Canis lupus familiaris: one gene and its partner. The protein of the gene in region 2 purifies or fractionates together with the protein of the main gene of each other region. This does not show direct contact. Links are inferred from orthologs where the notes say so. Each region holds a gene or a part of one and is shown on either strand. Other genes may lie near its edges. The genes, in order: MAPK14 and PTPN7.

What was found.
Region 1: the proteins of PTPN7 (region 2) and MAPK14 purify together in Homo sapiens (affinity purification with mass spectrometry; 3 studies listed by BioGRID and IntAct, with this or other methods). This does not show direct contact. The link is inferred for Canis lupus familiaris from reciprocal best matches to the Homo sapiens genes PTPN7 and MAPK14.

What each region holds. Positions count from the first base shown.
Region 1 is NC_049233.1:5,326,353-5,330,774, reverse strand, and holds the start of MAPK14 (mitogen-activated protein kinase 14), read right to left. Parts: upstream 3,021-4,422; coding exon 2,905-3,020; intron 1-2,904. Other genes in the region: SLC26A8 (testis anion transporter 1), read left to right, coding at 3,837-3,891. UniProt on the Homo sapiens protein: Serine/threonine kinase which acts as an essential component of the MAP kinase signal transduction pathway.
Region 2 is NC_049228.1:986,256-990,637, forward strand, and holds the start of PTPN7 (tyrosine-protein phosphatase non-receptor type 7), read left to right. Parts: upstream 1-1,580; 5' UTR 1,581-1,735; intron 1,736-2,259; exon of another isoform or gene 2,260-2,401; intron 2,402-2,790; 5' UTR 2,791-2,840; coding exon 2,841-2,962; intron 2,963-3,325; exon of another isoform or gene 3,326-3,410; coding exon 3,411-3,594; intron 3,595-3,858; coding exon 3,859-3,943; intron 3,944-4,382. UniProt on the Homo sapiens protein: Protein phosphatase that acts preferentially on tyrosine-phosphorylated MAPK1. Plays a role in the regulation of T and B-lymphocyte development and signal transduction.

The DNA of each region.
Region 1 (4,422 bases), on a different chromosome or scaffold from region 2:
CCTTTACCTTTTAAAAAGGAAAGGTATATTATAAAACCTTATCAATTTTTTAAAAAATTGAAAAATTAAAAAAATAAAACCTTATCAATTTTCAATTTCTAGTCTGATTCCTTGATCTTGGATTCATAGCATACAGGCTGCTGCTTGCCTTTTTACTGTAGACTTAGTGAAAATTAAAATGAGAAAATAGGCTTAACATAAAAAACTTTTAATATACATCAAAGTATATCACACTTAGGAGCAATCAAATTAGGAAACTGACAGATATTTGCGTGAGGTTGCATTCCTTAAAATGCTTTCAGAGATTCTTTTTCGGAACAGACTTCAGATCCAGTTCTACAAGTCACACAAGAAATTCTGTCATTACTTTATAGTTATAACTCCTATTTGACCTAAAACAAGACCAACCTGAATGCCTAATCTTTCTCGCCAGACTTGAGTACAAATTCTCTAAATTATTTGAATTCAGCTTGATTTTCTTATTCCCTAAAATCAAATCTGTTCTTAAAGGATGATGGCAGTGAAAAATAACACAGGCTCCAGAATGCTGTAAGAGAAATTAAAAAAAAAAAAAAAAAAAAAGTTTGCTGCAACACCCAAAACACTGCTAAGAATCTGAAAGAACTGAAAGAATAACTTCAAATAATTCTGAATGAGATGCCACTTACTTATGTATATCTAAATTCTGATATTTTCAATCCAAAATCAATTATATTTGCCATAGTCAACTGACACACATAAGATGCATTCTCTTCCACCAATATACCATATGTCACACTTTAAATCCCTCAACAGAAATACTACTAAAAACAAATGAATGGGCTCTGCCTCCTTGTAAAGACACATAAGAAACTTAACAGGGGCTGTCTCAGAGGAAAGGAATAGCACAGTTGGAGAACAAGAAAGGAAAGGATACCTTTCGTTAAATATCCTTTTACGCCTTTTGAATTTTATACAATGTGTATATAATTCTATACATATTTTTTAAAATATGTTTAACAAAATCACTTCCAAGTGTCAGATATTTCTGGCTTCTGTAAGCCAAAAAAGTATAGTACTAAGGAAATGTAAAGGTCATTTTTATGATACTTCACTCTAAATCTGAATCTGCAGTTCCAGGACAGAGCTATTCATACCAACAGTAGGAAGACCTTGCAAGCAGTTGTTTTCAGGTCCACTAAACTCCCCATAGTTGAGCTATTCTGCTGTATCATTTCATTAAAGTTTAAACATCATTGGAAACAGAAACTTGGTACTACGAAAATTAATGTCAATTATGACATAACAGAATGAAAAAGAGTGGTAAAATAATAAGCTATTAAAGGAGCCATGATCCAAATATATCTCTGAAAATTTGCAAATCAATCACACATATAGATGGATACAGTAAAATGTTGCAAATTCCCTTAAAACGTAAACTGCCATATTATAAAAATGAGGAAAAGATGTCAAGCACGGGACCATCAGCAAGATGAACTCACGCAGCTTGAACTAGAAAATGCAATATGATCTGTTGCTTGACACAATTGCACAATCTCAATTACCCAGAAGATTCTAGCAAACAGGAAATTCATGATGTGACTTTAAGAAACACAAGAATTATAAAGATTAACACATCCAAAAGTCTGGAATTCGTTTCCCTCACCCCCACCCCCACCCTCCCAAAATCTTATGGAGCCCTTTTCAAATGATTCACATGAATACAGGAATTAGTTTCAGATCAGCAGCTCTCAAGTTACAGTAACTCTAAAATATGGTGTGTAATACCTAAACTAGTGAAATATTTTAGATCCAAGAATTTTATTGGATCGATTTAATTTAAAACACAGTGTGAATTAAAGCTGAGAAGTGTCTCTCCCTTCCTTTGCTATATATTCCCTATCCTTATGAAAACCATCGTGTACCTCAGGCTACAAATGTAGATCAGTTCCCTGCGAACTCTCTAAAGAAGTTTAAAAACACAATATTCACAAGATGTACTGCAATTAAGAAATACTTACAATACCTCCCCAGATTGCTCATGATTCTTTGATCTTGAGCGCGTCCAACGGATCTGAATCTCACTTGCTCCAAGTGAAAAAACTGTTTTTGCCAAACAATACTTAAATGAGCAGTGGTATGTGACTAATCAGTGAAGCCGCCAGTTTCTCAAGCTGCAGTGTTCTTGCAGGCACTACCACCCACCCCCACTCAGCGAAAAGGAAATACGCTTTCAACAGAATCGGAAACACACAACTCAAGCTGGCACTAGGCTGGCCGAGATAAAGTCGGTATTTTCGGTTCTTTGGGTCGCTGCTAATGCAAGTGCGAATTCGAAAAGAATGCCTCTCGAAATGAGATTTCGAAAGAGGTCTGCAAAAAAAAAAAAAAAAAAAAGCCAGGGCAGAAAGCCCTTGGTCGTCAGTTTTGTTCCGACGCTCGCAGTCTCCCGTAGAGCTTGGCCCTTCTGCTTCTCCCTGCAGCCCCCCCGGGCTTGTCTGCTTGGAGGGCAGGCTCCCGCGCGCCCAGAGTGGCTGCACCTCCGGAGAGGCTCCTTCGGCTCGAGGCTGGCAGGGAGACACCCCCCACCCCCGGAGAGACGCCCCGGCCTCTGTGCCAGCCCCCCTCCCCCGAGCAGCCACCCCCCCAGAAGGGATTGCGCAGGGTGCGAGGCAGGGCCGAGCTCCAGCACCACCGCCCACCGTGGACCTGCATCCTGCACACAGCCGACCGCCTCCCTGGGGGTGCAGAGTGAGGGGTGCAAGGGGGTCCCGGGCGTGCAGCACAGGGGTCGAATGGGCAACGATGCCCTCCCCCAGAGAAAATTCCTACCGCTTGGTGCATCGCTGAGCTGTGTGGGCAGGCCTGGTTCTGGGGTGCTGAGGCCACCAAGCCCGCCGCAGACCCAAGCCCGGTGACACTCACCACACGGAGCCGTAGGCGCCGGAGCCCACCGGGGACAGGTTCTGGTAACGCTCGGGCACCTCCCAGATTGTCTTATTCAGCTCCTGCCGGTAGAACGTGGGCCTCTCCTGAGACATCTTCCAGCGGCGGCCGCGGGGCTAGGAGGTGGCCCTGAGGGGCCCCGCCTGCGCCCGCACCCGCACCCGCTCCCGCTCCCGCTCCCGGGCCCTCGTTGCCCGCCGGGCCGGGCGGGGACCCGGAGCTGGCAGTCGGCGCAGGTGCGGCAGACGCGACCCCGCCGACTCCCGCGCGCGCGGCCCCTGTCAGCCGCAGCTGCCGGGCGAGCCCGGTGAAGGGCAGGGGCAGGCTGCGGGGCTCAGGGCTGCGCCCACCACGCTCTCCCTGCACCCTCTCCCCGACCAGGCCGACCCCGGGCTGCGCCGCGGAACTGCGGCTCCAGCTGCAGCGCCCGCTCAAGTTCCAGTGATCGCCGTTCCAGAGCCAGCGAACAGGAGTCGCTAGCCGTACTCTCGCGAGACCAGCTCCCGGGACTCTCCGCGAGCCGAGATTTTACCCAATATGGAACCTGCCCACGGGAGGGGGTGGACTACCGGAGAGGATGGGAGGAGCACTTCTCGCGAGAAAAGGGCAACAGCTGGAGACCAGAGGCAGGAACTCTCGGGGACTGCTCTTAAGGGCGCGAAGGCGGACCCGGGAAAGGGAGGGACAGGCAGGCAACGTATGCCGCGTGCGCCCCACCGTGGTCGGCGGGGCAAACGCCCGGCTCCGTGGCGGGAGGCGACGGCGACTAATAGGGTGTCGGGAAAAGAGCCAAAAGATCTTTGAACTGCCGGTAGTCACCAGCAGCCGAGCATCTGCTCAGCAGAACCTCCAACTTCCAAGAAATACTTACATTTGGAAAAGGAAGGTTCCAGCCAGAAAGCCGTTATTCCATGTTCGGGGACATACGGCTTAATCTTCGGAACTGTGACGGACCCTATCCCGAAAGCAAGTATTAGCTCTACGTTAAGTCTGAGGTTTTCCACCCAAACTCTCCTAACGGTCTTTAAACGTTTATGTGCAAAAGAACACTTGGAGTGTTAAAAAAAAAAAAAAAAAAAAAAAGCCAAGTCCCAGGACCCACAGGGAGTCTAAGTGGATAGGTCGGTGATAGGCGCCAAGAACGCGCATTTTTATAATATGCTCCAGGCAGTTCTGATTCAGGAAAGTCTCCCGCATCCCCCTTGGAGAAGGATTTTTGAAAAGAGTACTTCTGAGGGTTTGAAACTGAATCCTGCTCTGAAGCTTGATTCTTGCCTCAGGTTAAGGAGAGCAAGGCAGAGGGTGTCCTATTAGGCAAGTCTATTGACCTCTCTTAGACTCTAGTTCCAGCTTCTGCAAAAGTAATTCCTGCCTTACATCCGCGCCTAATAGGGTTACCTGTAAAGCTGAACAAGATAGTAAGTGTGAGTGAGCAAGATACTATATAACCATGCCTACAGCCACTGTAACCAACTTATTCCTTTGTTAAAGTTTGTT
Region 2 (4,382 bases):
CCCTCCCCGTCTCCTGGCTCCCGGCCTCCTTGCCCTCAGCGTGTAGCTCCTCAACCTGCTGCCGGGCCCTTGTGAGGGCAGAGGGTGTGCTCACGGCCAGTGGGGCTCAGACCCGGGAAACCTGGTGGGAACCTGGAGGCACGGGCCGGCCAGGGGGCAAGGCTGGGCCCGCTTCCTCCTCCCCACCCCTGTGGTATCCTAGCTTCCTGTTCTCGATAACCATCAACAGCTTGGCCCAACGGGGCTGGCCCTCTTTCTGATTCCCTCCTGCCCCCTTCTTTGAATCCCAGGGCCCCACTGGTGGGTTTGGGGGAGCGGTGGAGGCAGAAGCCACCTCGGGTCCCTTCCCGAAGGTCGACCAGGGATTCCCAGGCTCTCCTGCCCCCACCTCCGCCCTGTTCTGGGGACCAGAGCCAGCTACTGCTCCAGCTCCTCCTTTCAGGGAAGCCACCCACTCCCCAGAGTGAAGAAGCCTCCGGGACCAGCCAGCCCTGGAGGGGCCGGGAAGGGGCCGGCTCCCGATCCGCACCCCCGGGAGCACGGACAGGTGCTGGAAGGCCTCGCAAGCTGCGCAGAGTCATCCCGGGCTTGGCCCCAAGCACCCCCCCAATGGCCAGCCCCCTCCCCACCGCCCCTCCTGTGTGCCCACCCCCTGTTGAAAATGGTTTCTTTTTTTGCTGTCACCATTGACAGCTGAATCAGAGAAATGGGAGGACGCAAGAGGACGGGGATGGCGCGTGTTGGGGCCGGGACGGGGAGGGTGTTCGCGGTGTTACGAGGTGGAAGGAGCCGTGCAGCGAGCATGACCCGCTGGGCAGCTGGCCAGCAAGGGGCCTCCCGAGGCGAGGCGGGGGCAGGGGGCGCTGGAGTCCTGGGCGCAGGGGCCACTTCCTGGGACCCCAGACGCGAAGAAGGCATGGGAGTCCCCCACCCCCCGCCCACCCCACCCGCCGCGCCCCGTGAGGGCCAGAGACTGTCCACTATCTGTAAGTCTGCTGAACTGATGTCAGGATGCTGGGGAGAACTGGAGGGGCTGGGGGGGAGGCAGGGGGAGAGCCCCCCAGATTCTCCTATGAACCGTGTCTACCACCCACTCCCGGGCCTGCTGGTCCATCGCCACCACAGGTAGCTGGCAGCTTGGCTGCGGCTCGAGTCCCAGGGACGGCCCTTCTGGCCTGGCCTGGGCCTTTCTGCCCCTGCTTCCCTCCCAGCCTGCCCCACCACCTACAGCCACCTCTGCAGGTGCCCCAGCCCCTGCCCCTGACTCCAGAGCTTGAAGGGGGCAAGGGCTCCCCGGACCACAGGGCGCCGAGGCAGAAGCAGGGCAGTGGGAAGCAGTGTCCGGGCAGGGCCGGCGGGACCAGAACCAGCAGCGAGCTGGGGGCAGCGGGCTGACGCTGCACGTGACCAGAGCCCAGAGGCCAAACAGTCCAGGGAGCACGCGGGCGGGGGGCGAGGGGAGCCAGGGTGGCGGGGAGCGGTCCGGCCCCCTCCGTCCCCGCACCCCCGCCCGAGGGACCCGGGCAGCCCACCCCGGGGCACAGGCGAGAGGCACCCGACCCCTGGTGGTGGCAGCAGGCGCAGGAGGGCAGCAGGCGGCTGGGGTGTGCGTGGGTGGCAGCGAGGAGGGGCGAGGGAGGAAGCTGGCTTCCTGAAGCTTCCTCAGCCCTCAAAGACCGACCAACAGACAGACAGACAGCTGGCAAGAGGCGGCCTGGAGGCCACGGCTGCCTCAGTGAGTCCCTGACCGGTGGAGGAGGGGCCCCGTGGTCCTGGGGTGGTGGGGACCCCGGGGAGGTGGGGGGGCACTCCGGGCAGGTGGGAGCGAGGCTGCGTGGGGTGCCACGCTGTGTGGCCGGGGAATGGGTGCTGCCCCATCAGACGGCCCCGAGGGGCGCGGGGAGGGAGCCCCAGGGCGCTGCAGGGGGACCAGAGGCCAGCCATCCCTTCCTGCTTCGTACGAGCTTCTCGCTCCCCGCACATCTGCACGGCCGGGGTGTCCCCTCACCTCGGGGCTTAGCGGCTCCGCCGCCGCCCCCACCCCTCGGACGCCACGGCCTGGCTCTGGGAGGTGGGGACGGTCCCCCCCAGGAGGACTCAGGCCCACCACCTCCGTGCCCCCCGTCCCCCCAGCTGTCGCCTCACCATGCGCTGCCGCTCAAGGGCTTGTGAGGCCATTTCCTGTGACGGTTACAGAGGCGGGAGGTGGGGGGATGGGCGGGGAAGAAGGAAACACCCCCAGCCTACCTCCCTGGACAGAGACCTCAGAAGCCAGAATGACCTTGGGCCCGCCCGCAGCGAGGACAGGGTCCCCAAGGGTCCCCAGCTGGCTCTGCTGCTGCCGCCGCGAGAGGCCTCAAACCTCTCATCTCGGAGCGGGCCCGGCCTGGAGGTGGCTTCCGTGAGCTTTCTCTCTCCCTTCCACGCAGAACGCGCGGCTCCTGTTTCCTCCCTCTCCTTCCTTACCTGGGCCCCGCGCGGGCCCCCTGTGCTCCAGCCTCGGGCAGCCTCTGCCCCCCATCCCCCTCCGTCTGGAGCCCTTCCTGACCTTGCCTCCCCGCACAAGCTCCATACCTCATTGGGTCCCTCCTCCAACCCCGGCCACCCCACCGCCCTGGGTCCCCCCTCGTAGGGACCCCGGCCTTCTTGCCGTGAAAACGACAGCTCTGCTCGGAGAAGGGACGACACCTGAGAGCGGAGGTGCCAGAAAGCAGGCGGCGGGCCTGGGCTTGGGTGCCTCTCAGGTGGGCAGAGAGGCCGGGGTCAGCTGCCGAGGGCCCTGTCTTTCAGGTGAACCTCATGGCTGCGTGAGCCTCCCCCAGGCCAGCACCCAGCCCAGCATGGTCCAGGACTGGGGGGGGTGCTCGAGAGCACGGCCGTCCACCTGGTCTTTGGGGGGAGCCATGACCCAGCCGCCACCCAGCAAAGCTCCGGCCAAGAAGCACGTGCGGCTGCAGGAGAGGTGAGGCCTTTCCTGGGGGGCGGGGGGTGTCCCAGCCCTGAGACCCTGCGCGGTGCTCTCTGCCTGCCCCTACAGCTCCGAGGCCGAGGGCTGAGGGCTCCAACCTGGAAAGGAACCCAGATGTGCTCATTTGCATGTCATTTGCATGCACTGACAGGTCGGGATAAAGTTTCCCGCCTCCTTGGGCTGCTCCCCAACCCGAGGCGGGGCTGTAGTCCCTGGAGCAGGGCTGTGTTGGGTCTGGGCTCGTCCACGCTCTGGGTGTGGCAGGAGGGGCGCAGGCAGGCAGCTGGAGCGTCGAGGTGACAAAAGGAGGGAACGCAGCGGGGCCAGAGCCCTCGAACCCACCGGGCCTCCGCCCAGGGGAAGACCAGGAGCAGCCTCCTCAGACGTGCCCTGAACCAGCAACAGCAAAAAGCAGCAGCCAGTGGTGTTGTCGTGCCCACAGGAGGGGCTCCAACGTCGCTTTGATGCTGGATGTGCGGTCCCTGGGGGCCGTGGAGCCCATTTGCTCAGTGAACACGCCCCGGGAGGTCACCCTGCACTTTCTGCGCACAGCTGGACACCCCCTCACCCGCTGGGCCCTGCAGCACCAGCCGCCCAGTCCCAAACAGCTGGAGGAGGAATTCCTGGTAAGAACTTGGGGTCCCCCCGCGGTGCTGTGTGCCTCCGAAGCACAGCCAGCCAGCGGGCACCGTACTGTCTTGTCTTCGGGCCTCCGGAAAGAGAACCCACGAGGGAGAAAACCACCCCGTGGGCCCCTCTGCGCTGCACCCCTGCAGACCCACGGAGGCCAGGAGGGAATTGCCGGGATCAGCCCCTGTGGACACAAGGACGGGGCGGCGGGGGCAGGCGGGCACGGGGGTCGATATTCACTCATCTCTTCCCTCTGCCAGAAGATCCCCTCGAACTTCGTCAACTCTGAAGACCTGGACATCCCTGGCCACGCCTCCAAGGACCGCTACAAGACCATCCTGCCGAGTAAGAACCGCGTGTCAGGGGAGTGCAGCCGTCCCTGGGCTGGACGGTGTGAGGGCGACAGGCGCGGCCCCAGCGAGGGCGCGTCTACGAGAGCAGTGGCAGGTTTGGGGATGGGAGTCCGGGGCTCTGAGGGGCTGACCCCGCAGGCCCTAAAGGCCCAGGGCCCCGCACAGAAGCAAGCTCCAGACCCTGGGAGACTGACTCCTGCCGCTGCCCACCCACCTCCAGCAACTCCCAGCCCTGAGGCCGTCTCACCGCCCACCCCCGCCCCCGCCCCCATCCCCGCCCCCACCCCCGCCCCTGCCCCTGCCCGCCTGGTGGGTCAGCACTCAGCCCAGGGAGCGGGAGGGAGTGGCCCTCGTCCCGGCCCAAGTCAAAGACGGAGGGGAGGTCCCCCCGCTTGCAGGGCCCCGTCCAGAACCAGGCCAGCCCTGGGGGA